Rattus norvegicus: one gene and its partners. Each later gene encodes a partner of the first gene's protein in a complex. Links are inferred from orthologs where the notes say so. Each region holds a gene or a part of one and is shown in the gene's direction. Other genes may lie near its edges.

Region 1 (2,818 bases):
GAGTTTTTATAGATCCTAGATCTGAGTCCTGGAACAGAATCAGGATAGTTTGTTTCCATTCACCCTTCTGTCTCCAGTTGATACACTTCATCAGCCAGTCCTTCTGTGTATTTGCCTTCTATGTAGTCTGTATTTGCACTTACCTTTGGGGCAACACACAGTTCTCCTTCTCCAGACTTAATTGGTTCTTCCATGGCAGAACTGAGTACTGGATGTGGCCCCTAAAACATGTTTGAATGTATAAATACCCATTAAGCCTTTTCCATTTATCTTTTAGGCTTTAATAGTTCTGTATTTTATTGACTTGCATTCATTGTTTATATTCTTAGGCTATGGATGGATTTGTTGTATCATCTCATGAGTATTGTCTTTTGATTTAAAGAATATTTTCATTTTTATATATAATGGAATGTAGTTACACTTTGTTATATTTAGTTCTAATTTTCTCTGTGTGATGTTAATATATTGGCTCAGTGCAGAAAATTTAGAATATTTGAAATTATCTAAAGGAAAAAAGTATCCATGGAAACAAAAAATTCCTATAATACTGTTAACCAGAAATAACCACCATAAATTAATTATACCTGATACATAATAGAAATGAAATAAGTACCCTCGAAGTGAATGAATTAAAAGTTTTATGCAGTCTTTGTTCATATAGCTCCTTTGAAAATCTTACTGATAAGAACTTGTAAAATAATAGTTTTCTTTGTTTCTCTTACTCTATTGTATACACTTTTTCATGACAATAGTTTTCTAATTTTTTTAAAGCCACATTGAAATTGCATTGAGCCAAGCTTGCCACCAAGAGTCCATCAGTCACCATGATGCTGAGCACAGAGGGCAGGGAGGGGTTCGTGGTGAAGGTCAGGGGCCTACCCTGGTCCTGCTCAGCCGAGGAAGTGATGCGCTTCTTTTCTGATTGCAAAATCCAAAATGGCACATCAGGTGTTCGTTTCATCTACACCAGAGAAGGCAGACCGAGTGGTGAAGCATTTGTCGAACTCGAATCTGAAGATGAAGTGAAATTGGCTTTAAAGAAAGACAGAGAAACCATGGGACACAGATATGTTGAAGTATTCAAATCCAACAGTGTTGAAATGGATTGGGTGTTAAAGCATACAGGTCCAAATAGTCCTGATACTGCCAATGATGGGTTTGTACGGCTCAGAGGACTCCCATTTGGCTGTAGCAAGGAAGAAATTGTTCAGTTCTTTTCAGGGTTGGAAATTGTGCCAAATGGGATGACACTGCCAGTGGACTTTCAGGGGCGGAGCACAGGGGAAGCTTTTGTGCAGTTTGCTTCACAGGAGATAGCTGAAAAGGCCTTAAAGAAACACAAGGAAAGAATAGGGCATAGGTACATCGAGATCTTCAAGAGTAGCAGAGCTGAAGTCCGAACCCACTATGATCCCCCTCGAAAGCTCATGACTATGCAGCGCCCGGGTCCTTATGATAGGCCAGGGGCTGGGAGAGGGTATAATAGCATTGGCAGAGGAGCTGGGTTTGAAAGAATGAGGCGGGGTGCCTATGGTGGAGGGTACGGAGGCTATGATGACTACGGAGGTTATAATGACGGGTATGGTTTTGGGTCTGATAGATTTGGAAGAGACCTAAACTACTGTTTCTCAGGAATGTCTGATCATCGATATGGAGATGGTGGGTCCAGTTTCCAGAGCACCACAGGGCACTGTGTACACATGAGGGGGTTACCATACAGAGCCACTGAGAATGATATTTACAATTTTTTCTCACCTCTTAATCCCATGAGAGTACACATTGAAATCGGACCTGATGGCAGAGTCACGGGTGAGGCAGACGTTGAGTTTGCTACTCATGAAGACGCTGTGGCAGCTATGGCAAAAGATAAAGCAAATATGCAGCACAGATATGTGGAGCTCTTCCTGAATTCTACCGCAGGGACGAGTGGAGGAGCTTATGATCATAGCTATGTAGAGCTCTTTTTGAATTCTACAGCAGGGGCAAGCGGTGGTGCTTATGGCAGCCAGATGATGGGAGGGATGGGTTTATCCAACCAGTCTAGTTATGGAGGTCCAGCCAGCCAGCAGCTGAGTGCTGGCTACGGAGGTGGTTATGGTGGTCAGAGCAGTATGAGCGGATATGACCAAGTTCTTCAGGAAAACTCAAGTGACTATCAGTCAAACCTTGCTTAGGAAGAGAGGAAGCATCAAAGAGCATCTACAGGAATAAAAAGTACATTATAGGAACTGGATAGAGTAGGGAGGATGTCCAGCATATCCAGTATGATTGGTAAATGGGAAATACAATTGCTTCTGATCACTATTGGTCAGCTTCTTTCTTTCTTCTTTCTCCTTTTTTTTAAAGAGAACAAAATTTAAGTTTAACAGTTTCGCATTACAAGCTTGTGATTCATGCTTACTGTAAAGTGAAAGTTACGATTGTTTTCAAACTTTAAGCTCAGCAATTTTGAACACTGAAAATATTCATCTAGGATGTAATAACAAGTTCAGTATTGACCATAACTGTCAATTCCACTTTCAGCTTTCCTCAAGTTAGTTATGTTGTAGGAGTGTACTTAAGCAGTAAGCATCTTTAGGTTTAAAGCAGTTTCACTTACGTTAAATGTTGCTCTTATACCACAATACATCGAAAACTTCAGATGCATGTTGAGAAACATGCTTTTCTGTAAAAAATATAGGAGCTGTGTCTGATTCAAAGTGACATTTGGCATGTTTGTTAATTCTAGCTTTTTGGTTTAATATCCTGTAAGGCACGTGAGTGTACACTTTCACCTTTTTTTTTTTTTTTTTTTTAAAGATCCGGGACAATTTTGAGA
Region 2 (4,093 bases), on another chromosome or scaffold:
TTGATTCAACTTATTTAAGTGTGAGGGAAACAGTCATGAAAATTACTTCTTATGGGAGGAGTTTGAATTTACGTTGGAATCTAACAGTTAAAGTCTCCTGTCACATGACCTTAGTTTATCACTCAGTAAGTGAAACTTTTAAGAGTCAGCATTTTCTTAGACCTCTTCAAACCAACTATTATTTTTATATGAATCTCTAAATAAATTAGCTTTCCCCACAAGATAAAGATATAAACCAGCTTCTTGGTATAAATGAAATTTTATGTATTTATTTATAAACAATTTCAATGTATAACTTGAGAATTCTGAAGTTTCCTCCAAATAAAAGAACATGCATATTGAAATGAAAAAAAAAAAAGTGACCATATCTGGGCTGGAGAGATGGCTCAGCGGTTAAGAGCACCCGACTACTCTTCCAGAGGTCCTGAGTTCAATTCCCAGCAACCACATGGTGGCTCACAACCATCTGTAAAGAGATCAGATGCTCTCTTCTGGTGTATCTGAAGACAGCTACAGTGTACTTATATATAATAAATGAATAAATCTTTAAAAAAAAAAAGAGTGACCATATCCCTCCTAAACATTTCCCTTAGATGCCCCCATCAAAACTCATGGTTAGAACAATAGTGCCATTTTATTCTAGTCTAGTAGGAAGCCTGGCTTTCATATTAGCAGGCCACGGTACACAATCACTCAGACTGTCCAGTTAGTGCTCACTCCTTGCATGCACCCTAGGACTTCCACCTCCACTCAGCCCCTCCCTGTTCTCCCGGCACAGGAGGATTTGACCAGCCATGCCGGTCGCACCTGCCGACTCCGGAATCCGAGGCTACGCGCACCGGACGACCGCCCAAGGAGTACACACCTTGACCCTGATCCTATAGCTCCACCCGGCTCCACCCTACCCAGCGGCCTCTCAACCCTTTTCTCCGCGTAGCTCCGCCCCACCTCGCTTGGCCCGCCCCTCGCTGTTAAGAGCTCTGGGTCGGCGCTCTCTTGAATGAGAGGTTTTTCCCGGAGACACCACGCTTTCCTTCAACCTTCCCAACGGCTCCGCCTTCCCGCCGGAGCCAGACTCTTCCCAGCGTGCCCGGCGACTCCGGCGTGCGCAGACTTGGGAGGGCAAGGCCCCCAGGGCCTGGCGGAGGTGCGCGAGGAGCAGGCTGGGAATTGTAGTTCTCGAGCGCTCGAGGGCGGCTGGAGACTGGCCGCCGGCAGGACTCATTGTCCCAGTGTACCCTGCGCCTTAGCCCGCGCGCTCGCAGCTTCTCGCTCTCTGCCCGCCCTCCCGCTCCCTTGCTAGCTCGCGCTTTCCTCGCGGATCGAAGAGACTCCGGCTACAGCTTGTGGCTGGGAAGGGAGACGGAGGCCGCAGCTCAGGGAAAGTGAAGCTGCAGTAGTGGCAGTAGGAAGATGTCGGGCGAAGACGAGCAGCAGGAGCAAACTATCGCCGAGGACCTGGTCGTGACCAAGTATAAGATGGGGGGCGACATCGCCAACCGTGAGTGCGGCCTCGGGGGTCTTGGAATCGAGGCTGAGAGGGAGAGGTTTGGGGCTGTCTCCGAAGGGCTGTAGCGGCTGGGTCTTGCGGAGTGAGCCACCGAGGGGCGCGTGCCGACGGCCGGGGGCGACGTGGTGGGGAGATCTGGTGTCGCCCCGGGAACTGAGCAGCCATGCCTGGGCTGGAGAGTGGAGGTGCGGGCCGGTGACCGCGAGGAGCGCAGAGAGGGGCCCAAGCATGCTCCGACCCTAGGCGGTTGGTAAGAAGGCAAGGCGCGTCGTCTTCTGCCCATCACCCTTCGGTCTATCGGGTCTTTGCTCCTGACTGGCAGCAGTGAGGCCACCTCGAAAGGGAAGCGGCCAGCTGTTGGCGACGGAAGCGCCCCTTTGCCAGTCGCGGCTCTTGACCCGCGGGAGCCGAGCCGGCACGTGTTGCCAGGTCCCTGTACGGATCGCTGACTCCCCACTTCCTCTCCTACCGCTCCTACCGTGCTTCACCACGTGCTTTGCTAAAGTCTTTAGGTCTTCTTGGTGGGGGCCCCCCTTCTCCCCTTGACCTAGCTTGGAGGGACCGTTGGAAGACACGACTGGAGCTTCTAACACAACTCTTAAAGATACCTGGCTCTCGTGTGTGGCTACAGGATTTAGTAGGATTAGCCTTTAATTTTTTGTTTTTAGAGTCTTTGCAGTGTTTTGAGGTTCTGCTTAGACAGCTGGGCAAGCCTGTCAATAATACTCAAAAGGGGTGGAGAGGGATTTTAGGAATATAAGCATTTCTTATATGGTCTTTACTCTCTTTAACAGTTGTCTGCCACTTGGGCAAACAACTTTCCTGTTTTCTTGTTCCAGTTCTTCTCCCTTGCCCTCTTATTTTCTGGGGCTTTCTGTGTAGTCCTGGCTTTCCTGGTACTCCTTCTTAGACCAGGCTGGCCTGAGAGATCCGCCCACCTCAGCTTCCCAGAGTGCTAGAATTAAAGGCGTGTGTAACCACGCCCGGCTCTTTTCCATTTTTAAAAGTCACTTGAGATAAAAACTGTCTTAGGTCTTTAGAAGGTCTTGACAAAATACTTGGAAGAAGGTATTTAGGATGTCTGGTTAAATCTGAGTTCTTTTGGATTCTAAAGAGTAACCAAAACATAAATCATCAAACCTAGAATTCCCATGTATCATAAAGACATACAAAATTAATACTTTTATTTGGGGTGATGTTTTAGTATTTGATAGTGGTTTGAATAAGACAAAAATTTCCAACCCTACAATTGCCTTAGGCGATAATAGCTTTGAAAGGGTTACATGTTTTCTTGATATACTGGAAGTAGACTTGTAGCCCTCTGAATCTTTGAGACCTTAGGTTAATTCCCCTGGGCTTATATCCTTATATGTGGGGAAATACAGCTACATAAATTATGATTACTACTTGGTGTCTGAGGAGGGAAGAAGGTAACATTTAGCAATGCTTCATCTTTGACTCAGCAATTCTCTACCTTCCCATTGTCCCTGACGCCTATAAATTTCTTCTGGTCTGCTTGTGAGTGTAGGGTATCTTGGGGCAGAGTTTCCTGACCATCATGATTCGTATTGCCATAGCATCCTTGGAGTGTGTGAGACTTGGGGCATATGCCCAAGTGTCAAGTAATTTAAAGGAGAGAAGTGAGTCCCCACCTCTTTATTTTTGGAAGGGAAGGTAGAAAGTAGAGCTGGGTATGGTGGTCACCTTTAGTGATACTTGTGGGAGGCAAAGGCAGGCAGGTCTACACCGTGAATTCTGGGACAGCCAGGGGTATATATGTCCTGAGAACAAAGACATTAACGATCACTCCATTAGGGCGTGTTAGAAACTAAACTGAGCTTCGGGTCCAATCAGATGATGAATGCATACAGGGCTGATGGTGCCACTCTCGTCCCCAGGGGTGCTTCGATCTTTGGTGGAAGCTTCTAGCTCAGGTGTGTCTGTACTGAGCTTGTGTGAGAAAGGTGACGCCATGATTATGGAAGAGACAGGGAAGATCTTCAAGAAGGAGAAGGAGATGAAGAAAGGTAAGAAGGGCAAATCTCCCTCTTAACTTCCTTAATTTCTCCTATTTGAACCCAACCACCTAGTCGCCCTCCCCCGCTCCCCCAATGTCCGGTTAAGCTATTTGGAAATCTGAGTAGCACATGGGATGGGTATGGTTTCCCAGACTGAGCTGAGTATGGAAACCAAGTCCCAGCAGGGGGTGTTCCCTGGTGAGAGCGAGGTGGTAAGGTTGGTGCTCTTTTGCAGGTATTGCCTTTCCTACCAGCATTTCCGTAAATAACTGTGTGTGTCACTTCTCCCCTTTGAAGAGTGACCAGGACTATATACTCAAGGAAGGCGACTTGGTAAAAATGTAAGCTCAAGCCTTTCTGCAGTATTTGTCGTTTTCCTGCGTATTCCAACTGTCAGTTCCTAATGCAGTGCTCTGTCTTGTCTTCCAGTGACCTTGGGGTTCATGTGGATGGCTTCATTGCCAACGTGGCTCACACTTTTGTAATTGGTGTAGCTCAGGTAAGAGCTTTGAGGAGAGGATAGACTGCCGCTTGTGCTTTTAATTTGTACATAGCTTTTTATGTC
Region 3 (4,383 bases), on another chromosome or scaffold:
TATACAACACTTCTGCCCCTCCCCCATCCCCGTTGTCCTTGATTTCTCCAGCCAGTCTTAATATTTAATGGTTTCATTTTAAGCAGCCCTACATCCCTGGACTGTGGTAAATAAATGATAATGTATAGGGGCAGCAGATGGCTCATCTGATAAAGATGCTCCTCAAAAGCCTGACCACACATAGTGCAAGTGGTGAACTGCACTTTATTTTCTAACTTTCACACATGGGCTGGGGCATGACCCACCACCCCAAGGCACAATATGCATAAAATAAAATTGAAAACTAAAAATTACAGTGTAGAGAATCAACCTTAAAATTTCCGGGGATCCGATTTAGCATACTTATTCGAGATAGGAACTGCACAGCTCTGGCTGGCCTTGAACTCCTGAGATTCTGAGGCCTACTTTGAAAGGAATGCGCCACCACACCTGGCTGTCTTATTATCTAAACAGGAAAGGTTCTGGTTTTAGCCAGGAGGTGGTGACTCATCTTTGATCCTAGCACTTAGAAGGCAGCAGGATCTGAGTTCCAAAACAGCCAGGGGCTGTTCAAACCAAAACAGAAACCCGAAACTCAAAAACAATGCCAAGAAAAAGGTTTGTTTTTAAAAAATTTTAATAGAAAGGGTTTCCCTGCATGTCCCGGGCTGACCTTTAATAGAAATGTGTATCACAGAGTAGGTTTATCACCTCCTTGCCTCAGCTCCCAGAGTGATAGGATTTCAGGCACACAGACTTAAGTCCAGCTTAGTTTTGTTTTAATTAAAAAGCCTGTATGATTTCACAAATAAAACTCTCCTATTCCCGTTATTACAAAACAAAGAAGCAAAATTGTGGTATCCAGTACAAAAATCCTATTTCAGATAATCTCGGGGAAAAAGTTATCTCCCTAGACTAGCACCGAACCCGGATCTCGGCCCAAAGAAGCAGTTAGTATTTTATCACGTTTCCTTTTTCATCCTTTGAAAGGAGGAAGAAAAAAAGCGAAGGCACGGTTCATCTAAATAGATATGGAGGATCCGTCTAGACACTTTTAACTGTGTAAAATGCAGCCCACCGCAGGTTCGCAGAAGCAAAAGCCACACAGCTCCCCTTAGGCTGTTAAACGAATCTCCTGCAACTCGGCCGGCCGCACCGAAGTGCTAAAGTTGCCCAGGTTTCCGGAGCAACACCCAGCGTCATCTAGCTCCGCCCCCTACGCCTTTCCCGCCAAAGGCCGTTACCACCGCGGAGCATGTTGGGACACAGTTGCAGGCTAGGTTTCACCCAATCTTTTTAAAGCGCCGAGCTGCTTCCAGAGAGAGTTTACGCCAGAGGAAACCGACTATCCTGGACTCAGCAGGATTGGTAATAACCCCTTTAACCAGAGTATGTGACTTTTACCAAACGTCTGGCCGCTCCACCAGCCAATCATCCCATAAGCCCAGGACCCGAGGGACTTTTTCCCCTCCGTGCGGAGGGTGACGTCGCGCGTGCGCGAGCGTACTTCTCAGCACCCGTTACGCTCGTGCGCGTGCGCACTGAAATGGAATAGCCGCTTCCTCCGGCTTCTCTTCCTCCCCCTCCCCCCCATATCAGTGCGCCGAGCTGATAAAGGCGCCATTTTGGACCGGCCGCGGGAGACGTGGTGCCGCTGAGGGCTCGCTCTGCCGTACGCTAGGCTTGGTGGGAAGGCCTCTTTTCGAGTCCGCGCTTTTCGTCGCCGCCATGTCAGGAGGTGGTGTGATTCGTGGCCCGGCAGGGAACAACGACTGCCGCATCTACGTGGGTAACCTACCTCCAGACATCCGAACCAAGGACATTGAGGACGTGTTTTACAAATACGGCGCTATCCGCGACATCGACCTGAAGAACCGCCGCGGGGGACCGCCCTTCGCCTTCGTTGAGTTCGAGGACCCGCGGTGAGGCAGCGTGGGGCTTGCGGCCTTGAGGAGATAGGCTGGAGTAGTTGGGGAAGGCTCCGAGGCCTTAACATAATGGGGGAAGGAGGGGCTCCGAGGCTGGGAGCGAGGCGCTATCGCCCCTGCAGGAGTCGAGTAAGGAGCCGAGTCGGCGCGTTGTCTCCGGTGGCTGACCGCCTCGGACGTCCCCAGAGCCCATGCGCAGCCCCGGAGCGGGAAACTGAGGCGCTGAGGGCTGGCGTGGTGGTCGGGAGTCTGCCCGGCGTGTTTCTGGGTGGGGGAGGGGCCGGTCCTATTATGCAGCGCATGTGGGCTCTGGCACCATGGGTGCGCATGTGCGCTGTCCGCGGGTTCCCGAGTGAGTTAGCTTTGCCAGCGGCTCCCTCCTCATCCCCTTTGCTTTCTGTGATCACACGCAGAGACGCGGAAGATGCGGTGTACGGTCGCGACGGCTACGATTACGACGGCTACCGTCTGCGGGTAGAGTTTCCCCGAAGCGGCCGTGGGACCGGCCGAGGCGGCGGCGGGGGTGGAGGCGGCGGAGCCCCGAGAGGCCGCTATGGCCCGCCATCCAGGCGGTCTGAAAACAGAGTGGTTGTTTCTGGTGAGTTGACTTCGTGCGGGTTAAAATTTTTCCCGCGTGATTGTTTTGAGGTCTGCAAGTTTTCTGTTTTGCTTTAAACATGGGGTCTTAAACTACTTCGGTCTTTCGGGTGAATTTAGTAAATGAAGATTACTGTGGTGGTGATTTACCCAAATTAGGTTGCAGTACTAGCCTATGAAGATCCTTTACAAATAAATTTGGACTCTGGATCTGACTCTTACCAGCTCTTTACCTGGAAACACTTAAGTACAATCATTAAGTATTTTAAACTAATCTTTGTTTTAATGTACTTACACGTTTGATGTGGGACAGGTTAAGTAGTATTAAGTTGGAGGGACTCACTTTTTCAGGACTGCCTCCGAGTGGAAGCTGGCAGGACTTAAAGGATCACATGCGTGAAGCAGGTGATGTATGTTATGCTGATGTTTACCGAGATGGCACTGGTGTCGTGGAGTTTGTACGGAAAGAAGATATGACGTATGCAGTTCGAAAACTGGATAACACTAAGTTTAGATCTCATGAGGTAGGTTATACACTTATTCTTTTTTTTGGCCAGAATTGGATACAGTTTTCTTAACAGTGGAATTTGAAGGTAAGGATACAGGCAAGGGTGTCCGAGTAAATTACCAGAGACCTGGTCTGTCTTTGTATTCATTCAGCTTGTCTGAAAGACAGGTAAAAGCTTAGATCTTTCAATGGAAAGTTCTGTCTATCCAATAGGGAGAAACTGCCTACATCCGGGTTAAAGTTGATGGGCCCAGAAGTCCAAGTTATGGAAGATCTCGATCTCGAAGCCGTAGTCGTAGCAGAAGCCGTAGCAGAAGCAACAGCAGGAGTCGCAGTTACTCCCCAAGGAGAAGCAGAGGATCACCACGCTATTCTCCCCGTCATAGCAGATCTCGCTCTCGTACATAAGATGATTGGTGACACTTTTTGTAGAACCCATGTTGTATACAGTTTTCCTTTACTCAGTACAATCTTTTCATTTTTTTTAATTCAAACTGTTTTGTTCAGAATGGGCTAAAGTGTTGAATTGCATTCTTGTGTAATATCCCCTTGCTCCTAACATCTACATTCCCCTCATGTCTTTGGTAACTTGTATTTTAAGTGATGTCATAGACAGGATTGTTTAAATTTAGTTAATTTCCATGCTCTTCAGACTGTGATATTATGTAAATGTCTATTCTGCTCTGGTTTGTGTGAAATGGGATGTTGGGGGTGTTTGTGGTTATCTTACTTGGGGAAGTTCTTATGTTTATCTTGCTTTTCATGTGTCTTTCTGTAGACATATCTGAAGAGATGGATTAAGAATGCTTTGGATTAAGGATTGTGGAGCACATTTCAATCATTTTAGGATTGTCAAAAGGAGGATTGAGGAGGATCAGATCAATAATGGAGGCAATGGTATGACTCCAAGTGCTATTGTCACAGATGAAATTGGCAGTATTGACCTTATACTAAAAGGCGAGGGTTAAAATTTTATCTACCTTAAAAGACTTGCAAACATCTTATGCAGTTATCTTCAGCTACAATTGCTTTGCTTTTTAAAACCTTGGCAATTGTGGCAAAATTGCCCGTTTTGTAACAGTTATTTGCTCCCTTCCCCCCTTTTTGTTTTAATAGGGACTAATGTGGGAAGAATGGCTAATTTGTCACAGTGCTTAGTTACAACTGTTAATGTGTGGCCTGCTGTTGGTGTACATGTGGGTACAGGGTGTCTATTTCCAAACAGAGTATAATATCAATACTGCTAAATCTGCATGTCCTCTGTGTGACTGATAGAGCGTTGTTATTTCATTTTTTAAAGACAAAAATGACAGCAAAATATAGAATTCCAACATATTAATGTAGATAATCTAGTTGGGAATACTTTTGTCT
Region 4 (4,377 bases), on another chromosome or scaffold:
AAAAATCTACATTGAAAACTGTAGAAGATAAGGACTTTGTTATGAAATTTCAAAGACTCAACCAGGCAAGTTTTCAAAAGACGTATTTAATTTTTTGGGATGATTTCCAGTGCTAGCTAGCTCCTTATGCAGTCAAAACTGTCGTGCCAACCCAACTTTTATTCTTGCAACCTACAATCCTATTTACCGGTATTTTTATACTCACATGGGTGTTTTTAGTTACAATAAATTTATAGGTAACCAGGAATATCGTAAGACAGCTGTAAATGAAAACCTAAAAACTGCTAGAAATTAATGGAGGTAGCTCTGAATTCCCAGTAGTTTTTAGACATGTTTTTACCCAATTATCTTGTATAAGTAAGATCTCTCGGGTGCCCAAACAAGTGATTAATTTAGGCTGTTAGGAATTTGAATAATGACAACACCGACACTAATGCATTTGTTAGTTTTCTTTTTTATTATATTTGATGTGTACGAAGGTAAAAATGAAAGAAAAAAAAAGCCAAATCGCTAAGCTCTAAACTAGCACATTAATAATCCTAATCAAGCTCCCCGTTGTTCTTTTCCAAAAACAGCTCGTGCCCTCCCCCAGATAGTACAGGACTAACGATTAAGGGTTTCAGCAATAATTCCGAAAGCTTGAAACGCCTGTATCCTGAAATGACTGGATATTAGAAAGCACTTTAGAATTGGTCACATTTCCAGTACAGTCAGACATTCTGGAGACAGTAGTCTGAATGTGTCATGCCCATTTTGCCCTCCTTCCAATGCCCAATGCGCACAGCTGACCAAGCCATGACAACCATTTTGTATTGTCTTGGAAAGGACGAGGAAAGCGTCCTAGACAACCGAGTCAATTGGCTTTTTAAAGGCTGTACTAGACAAAGCCAGTTACTGTAGAGGGCATCAAAAGATCTTATGAGTGCTATGCCTCAAAAGGAAAAAATATATATAGATAGGTTCAACCTTAGTCCAAACAAACCAAAGGGGAAGGAGAGACAGTCTGTGGCTAGATACCCCACAGAAACTCGGATCCAAGAAGGATCCTGACTGCTCTGTAAAAACAGGATGAGGGTATCCCAGCCTTGTCAATGAGCTCCTGTCTCATCCCAAGTCTCAATTCCACGCCTGGAAAACACATGAGGTCTCGAGGGTGAGACCCTAAATTTAGAGATTCCCTGCGACTGCAACTAGTGTCCAACCATCACGAGCCTCTCCAGCAGCCCAGACATGGCTCAGATTCAGCCCGAGGCCTGCGGAATGCTGCAGTACAAAAACACTAGGGCTCCAGGCCGAGACTCACCAGCCTCTGAGCTGGCCATACTGCCAAGTGAGGTCGCGGCCAGACTCCAAGACGAGAGCGCGGGCGACGGTGTCCTGGAAGGGTCGAACCCGGTAGAACCGAAGGGAGTAGGAGGGGGTAGAAACCAGAGAGCGGGGAAGGAGGGGTAGAAAAGGGAGGGACGTTAAAACGGCTTCTCGCCGCTGATTGGTCAGAAGAGAAGCACTTCCTTTCGCAGCACGCGCTTAGGCGGCAGTTTGCGGGCTCCAGATACCATTCCCCGCGGACAAGATCCCGCTTAAGGGCTCTCAGATCGGCGTGCAGGGCAGCCAGGTCACCCAGCAGCCCGGCCGATCTCCTGGGGGCGTTAGAGCCGCGCTTCCGGTGAGTTTGTGGTTTTGTATTCCTCCGCCGAAGGCAAGCGAGAAAGTAGTGCGATACGCCTTGCCCAGGGTACAATCACGTGACAACGCCAAGCTCCGCCTCCCCCGTCTTCTTTGGTTATGGGCGTGGGGGAGTCTGTGAAGACGTAAACATCTTCAAGTAGAGACAGTAGGATGGCTGGTGCTGGCCATTTTAATGACTGGTTGGCCACGGGGAAGAAGCTTGTTTGACATGTAGCAAGGCGAGAAGGTGGTGTAGCCAAAAGGGTGTGGGACGGGGCATTCTAGTGGTGTCACCCAGTCGAGAAGCGAGTAATAAACGGGCGCCTATGAGGGAGCGCCCGCGGGGGGGAGGGGCGAGAACATGGCGGATTCCGGAACGCCAGCGGGCGTTGAGGCCTTGGAGCCAGGGGGCGGGGTGATTAGGTCATAGAGCGGCTCCCAGCATCCTTTGCGACGAGGAGGCGGTCCAGACTATAAAACCGGCTGCCCGGACGCAGCCGGCACCTCATTCATTTCCATCGGTCCTTGGGTTTACAGCTCCGGCCCTCGTCACCGCCGTCCCTCCGCTGGTGACGCCCCCGCAAAGGCTTCGCCGTCGCCGAGGCCTCCTTTCAGCGACTCGTCGCAACTGGATTCTCTTTCACTGGGTTCCTCCAGCACACCGCAACCATTGACGCCATGTCGAGTTATTCTAGTGACCGAGACCGCGGCCGGGATCGAGGGTGAGTATAACAAGGGACCTGTCAGGGCGGGTGGGGGATGGGAGAGCGGCGCGGCAGAAGCTCGGCTTTCCAACCGACCTTTAGATTTTTTTTTCTGGTAGGAGGCCTTGCGTTTCTCTGACATCCGGCTAAAAAGCCGTTAAAGGCGACGCTTCTGGTAACTGGGTTCAACCTTGGTTTTTGTTTGGGAGGACGGCGGCCTGGGCGACCTCGCGGCTGTTGTGGGAAGCCCGGAGGTGTTTTAGATAGGGAAGCGCCTCGCCTTAGAGTCGGCTCAAGGCGTCGTTTGCGCAGCCTTTCGCTGGGGGTTTTAGGGGGGCCCCCGGGGTCCCCAGAGAATACAAGGGGCGCTTTCGAGGCCGTCTGTGCCCGGTAGGGTGGCCTACGCCAGCGGATTCAGCCATGTGGCTGAGCCGCAGCCACAAAATGCCGGCCTCGGACATGGCGGCGGCGCCTTTGTTACCCCGCCCGGCGGAGGAGCTCAAAATGGCAGCGTCGAGAAAATGTGGCGCAGAGAGAAATGCGAGACAAAGAAGGAAGCGCCGCCCCAGCGGGAACGCCGCCCGGGCCGGGACTCCTCCCCCGGTTGCCGTCGACTCCTCCTCTTTTTCTCCCTCGCGTTATATAATTTTGTTACCTTGATTTGCAGCCGTTCGCGGCGTTTCCTAAAACAAGGCTCCCTGGCGCGTGTGCCCCTTTCTACCCTGCCCGCGGTACCGTCCTCCCATAGCCACTCACGTTGCCTGCGCAGTCCCGTTATTTCTTTAAGATCAGGCCCTTTGATGAAAACAGTGGCAAAAATAACCTTCTTAAGCTCCTCCCTTCTTGTCCAGCTCCTAGACACTTAATTCCTAAGCTCTGTGGGGAGAGAAGAGGGAGCCTCTAGCTGTTGTCCTTGTAATCTGAACTTCAGACGTTTGGGCAGTTTGGGACCTGATAGATCCCACGCTGTTTATTTGGCCTCATTAGAGTGTACTTGGGACTTCAGAAAAGAAACGCTGCCAGTTGTGGCTGTCCGTAGAATGACAGTTGGGAAGGATTCCAGAGGCACACTTTGGCTCGGATCAAGAGACATTAAATGAAATGTGGAGACAAACCTGTTCATGTAGAAGTCTGTTCACAATGTACCTAACTTTTTTTTTTGTAGGTTTGGTGCACCTCGATTTGGAGGGAGTAGAACAGGACCCCTATCTGGAAAGAAGTTTGGAAATCCTGGGGAGAAACTAGTTAAAAAGAAGTGGAATCTTGATGAGCTGCCCAAATTTGAGAAGAATTTTTATCAGGAACACCCTGATTTGGCAAGGCGCACCGCAGTGAGTATTTAAATGTGGCTTCATCGTGCTATAACTCAGTAGTAACTACTTCTGATCAATTAGATGGAAACTTAGCAGGTGCCTTGCAGATTATTTGGAGAATTACTTGTCTGACTTCCCATTGAATTTTCTCTTGTGTATTGGCCAGGTGTAATGGCCATATGTTAATCTCTGGGGAAACATCACTGGGGAAACAGGCTTGTCAGCCTATTTGGGCTTCATAGACACTTTTTTTTTTTAATGTGTATTGTGATTTTTACTGCTAAGTAGAGTTCCATTTATGGGTCCAGATAGTTAGAAATGAGTGTAACTGAGCTGTAGGGAACTTGTCGGTGTATCTGGCCTAGGTCTGAGACCAAGATCATTTGTTTTTCAGCAAGAGGTAGATACGTACAGAAGAAGCAAGGAAATTACAGTCAGAGGTCACAACTGTCCAAAACCTGTTCTGAATTTTTATGAAGCAAACTTTCCTGGTAAGGAATAAATTTTATCTTTAACCCTTTACGTTTTTTCCCTCTTTTTTTGCCTATAAGTTTTTGTTAAAATGGTATTGTTGGTTGCAGCAAATGTCATGGATGTGATTGCAAGGCAGAACTTCACTGAACCCACTGCTATCCAAGCTCAGGGCTGGCCAGTTGCTCTCAGTGGATTGGATATGGTTGGAGTAGCTCAGA

Evidence for each region.
Region 2: Hnrnph2 (region 1) and Pa2g4 share a complex: the UniProt entries of both Homo sapiens proteins name them as parts of the ribonucleoprotein complex. The link is inferred for Rattus norvegicus from reciprocal best matches to the Homo sapiens genes HNRNPH2 and PA2G4.
Region 3: Hnrnph2 (region 1) and Srsf1 share a complex: the UniProt entries of both Homo sapiens proteins name them as parts of the ribonucleoprotein complex. The link is inferred for Rattus norvegicus from reciprocal best matches to the Homo sapiens genes HNRNPH2 and SRSF1.
Region 4: Hnrnph2 (region 1) and Ddx5 share a complex: the UniProt entries of both Homo sapiens proteins name them as parts of the ribonucleoprotein complex. The link is inferred for Rattus norvegicus from reciprocal best matches to the Homo sapiens genes HNRNPH2 and DDX5.

The regions. Positions count from the first base shown.
Region 1 is NC_086039.1:102,077,146-102,079,963, forward strand, and holds the end of Hnrnph2 (heterogeneous nuclear ribonucleoprotein H2), read left to right. Parts: exon of another isoform or gene 1-771; 5' UTR 772-824; coding exon 825-2,174; 3' UTR 2,175-2,301; downstream 2,302-2,818. UniProt on the Homo sapiens protein: This protein is a component of the heterogeneous nuclear ribonucleoprotein (hnRNP) complexes which provide the substrate for the processing events that pre-mRNAs undergo before becoming functional, translatable mRNAs in the cytoplasm. Binds poly(RG).
Region 2 is NC_086025.1:1,573,995-1,578,087, reverse strand, and holds the start of Pa2g4 (proliferation-associated protein 2G4), read left to right. Parts: upstream 1-1,293; 5' UTR 1,294-1,413; coding exon 1,414-1,501; intron 1,502-3,408; coding exon 3,409-3,537; intron 3,538-3,763; coding exon 3,764-3,869; intron 3,870-3,957; coding exon 3,958-4,027; intron 4,028-4,093. UniProt on the Homo sapiens protein: May play a role in a ERBB3-regulated signal transduction pathway. Seems be involved in growth regulation. Acts a corepressor of the androgen receptor (AR) and is regulated by the ERBB3 ligand neuregulin-1/heregulin (HRG).
Region 3 is NC_086028.1:73,334,915-73,339,297, forward strand, and holds the start of Srsf1 (serine/arginine-rich splicing factor 1), read left to right. Parts: upstream 1-1,583; 5' UTR 1,584-1,707; coding exon 1,708-1,901; intron 1,902-2,320; coding exon 2,321-2,505; intron 2,506-2,855; coding exon 2,856-3,028; intron 3,029-3,225; coding exon 3,226-3,420; 3' UTR 3,421-3,790; coding exon of another isoform or gene 3,791-3,829; 3' UTR 3,830-4,383. UniProt on the Homo sapiens protein: Plays a role in preventing exon skipping, ensuring the accuracy of splicing and regulating alternative splicing.
Region 4 is NC_086028.1:92,229,129-92,233,505, reverse strand, and holds the start of Ddx5 (probable ATP-dependent RNA helicase DDX5), read left to right. Parts: upstream 1-1,577; 5' UTR 1,578-1,666; exon of another isoform or gene 1,667-1,677; intron 1,678-1,774; exon of another isoform or gene 1,775-1,915; intron 1,916-2,205; 5' UTR 2,206-2,346; coding exon 2,347-2,390; intron 2,391-3,537; coding exon 3,538-3,703; intron 3,704-4,079; coding exon 4,080-4,176; intron 4,177-4,266; coding exon 4,267-4,377. Other genes in the region: Cep95 (centrosomal protein of 95 kDa), read right to left, coding at 1,304-1,322. UniProt on the Homo sapiens protein: Involved in the alternative regulation of pre-mRNA splicing; its RNA helicase activity is necessary for increasing tau exon 10 inclusion and occurs in a RBM4-dependent manner. Binds to the tau pre-mRNA in the stem-loop region downstream of exon 10.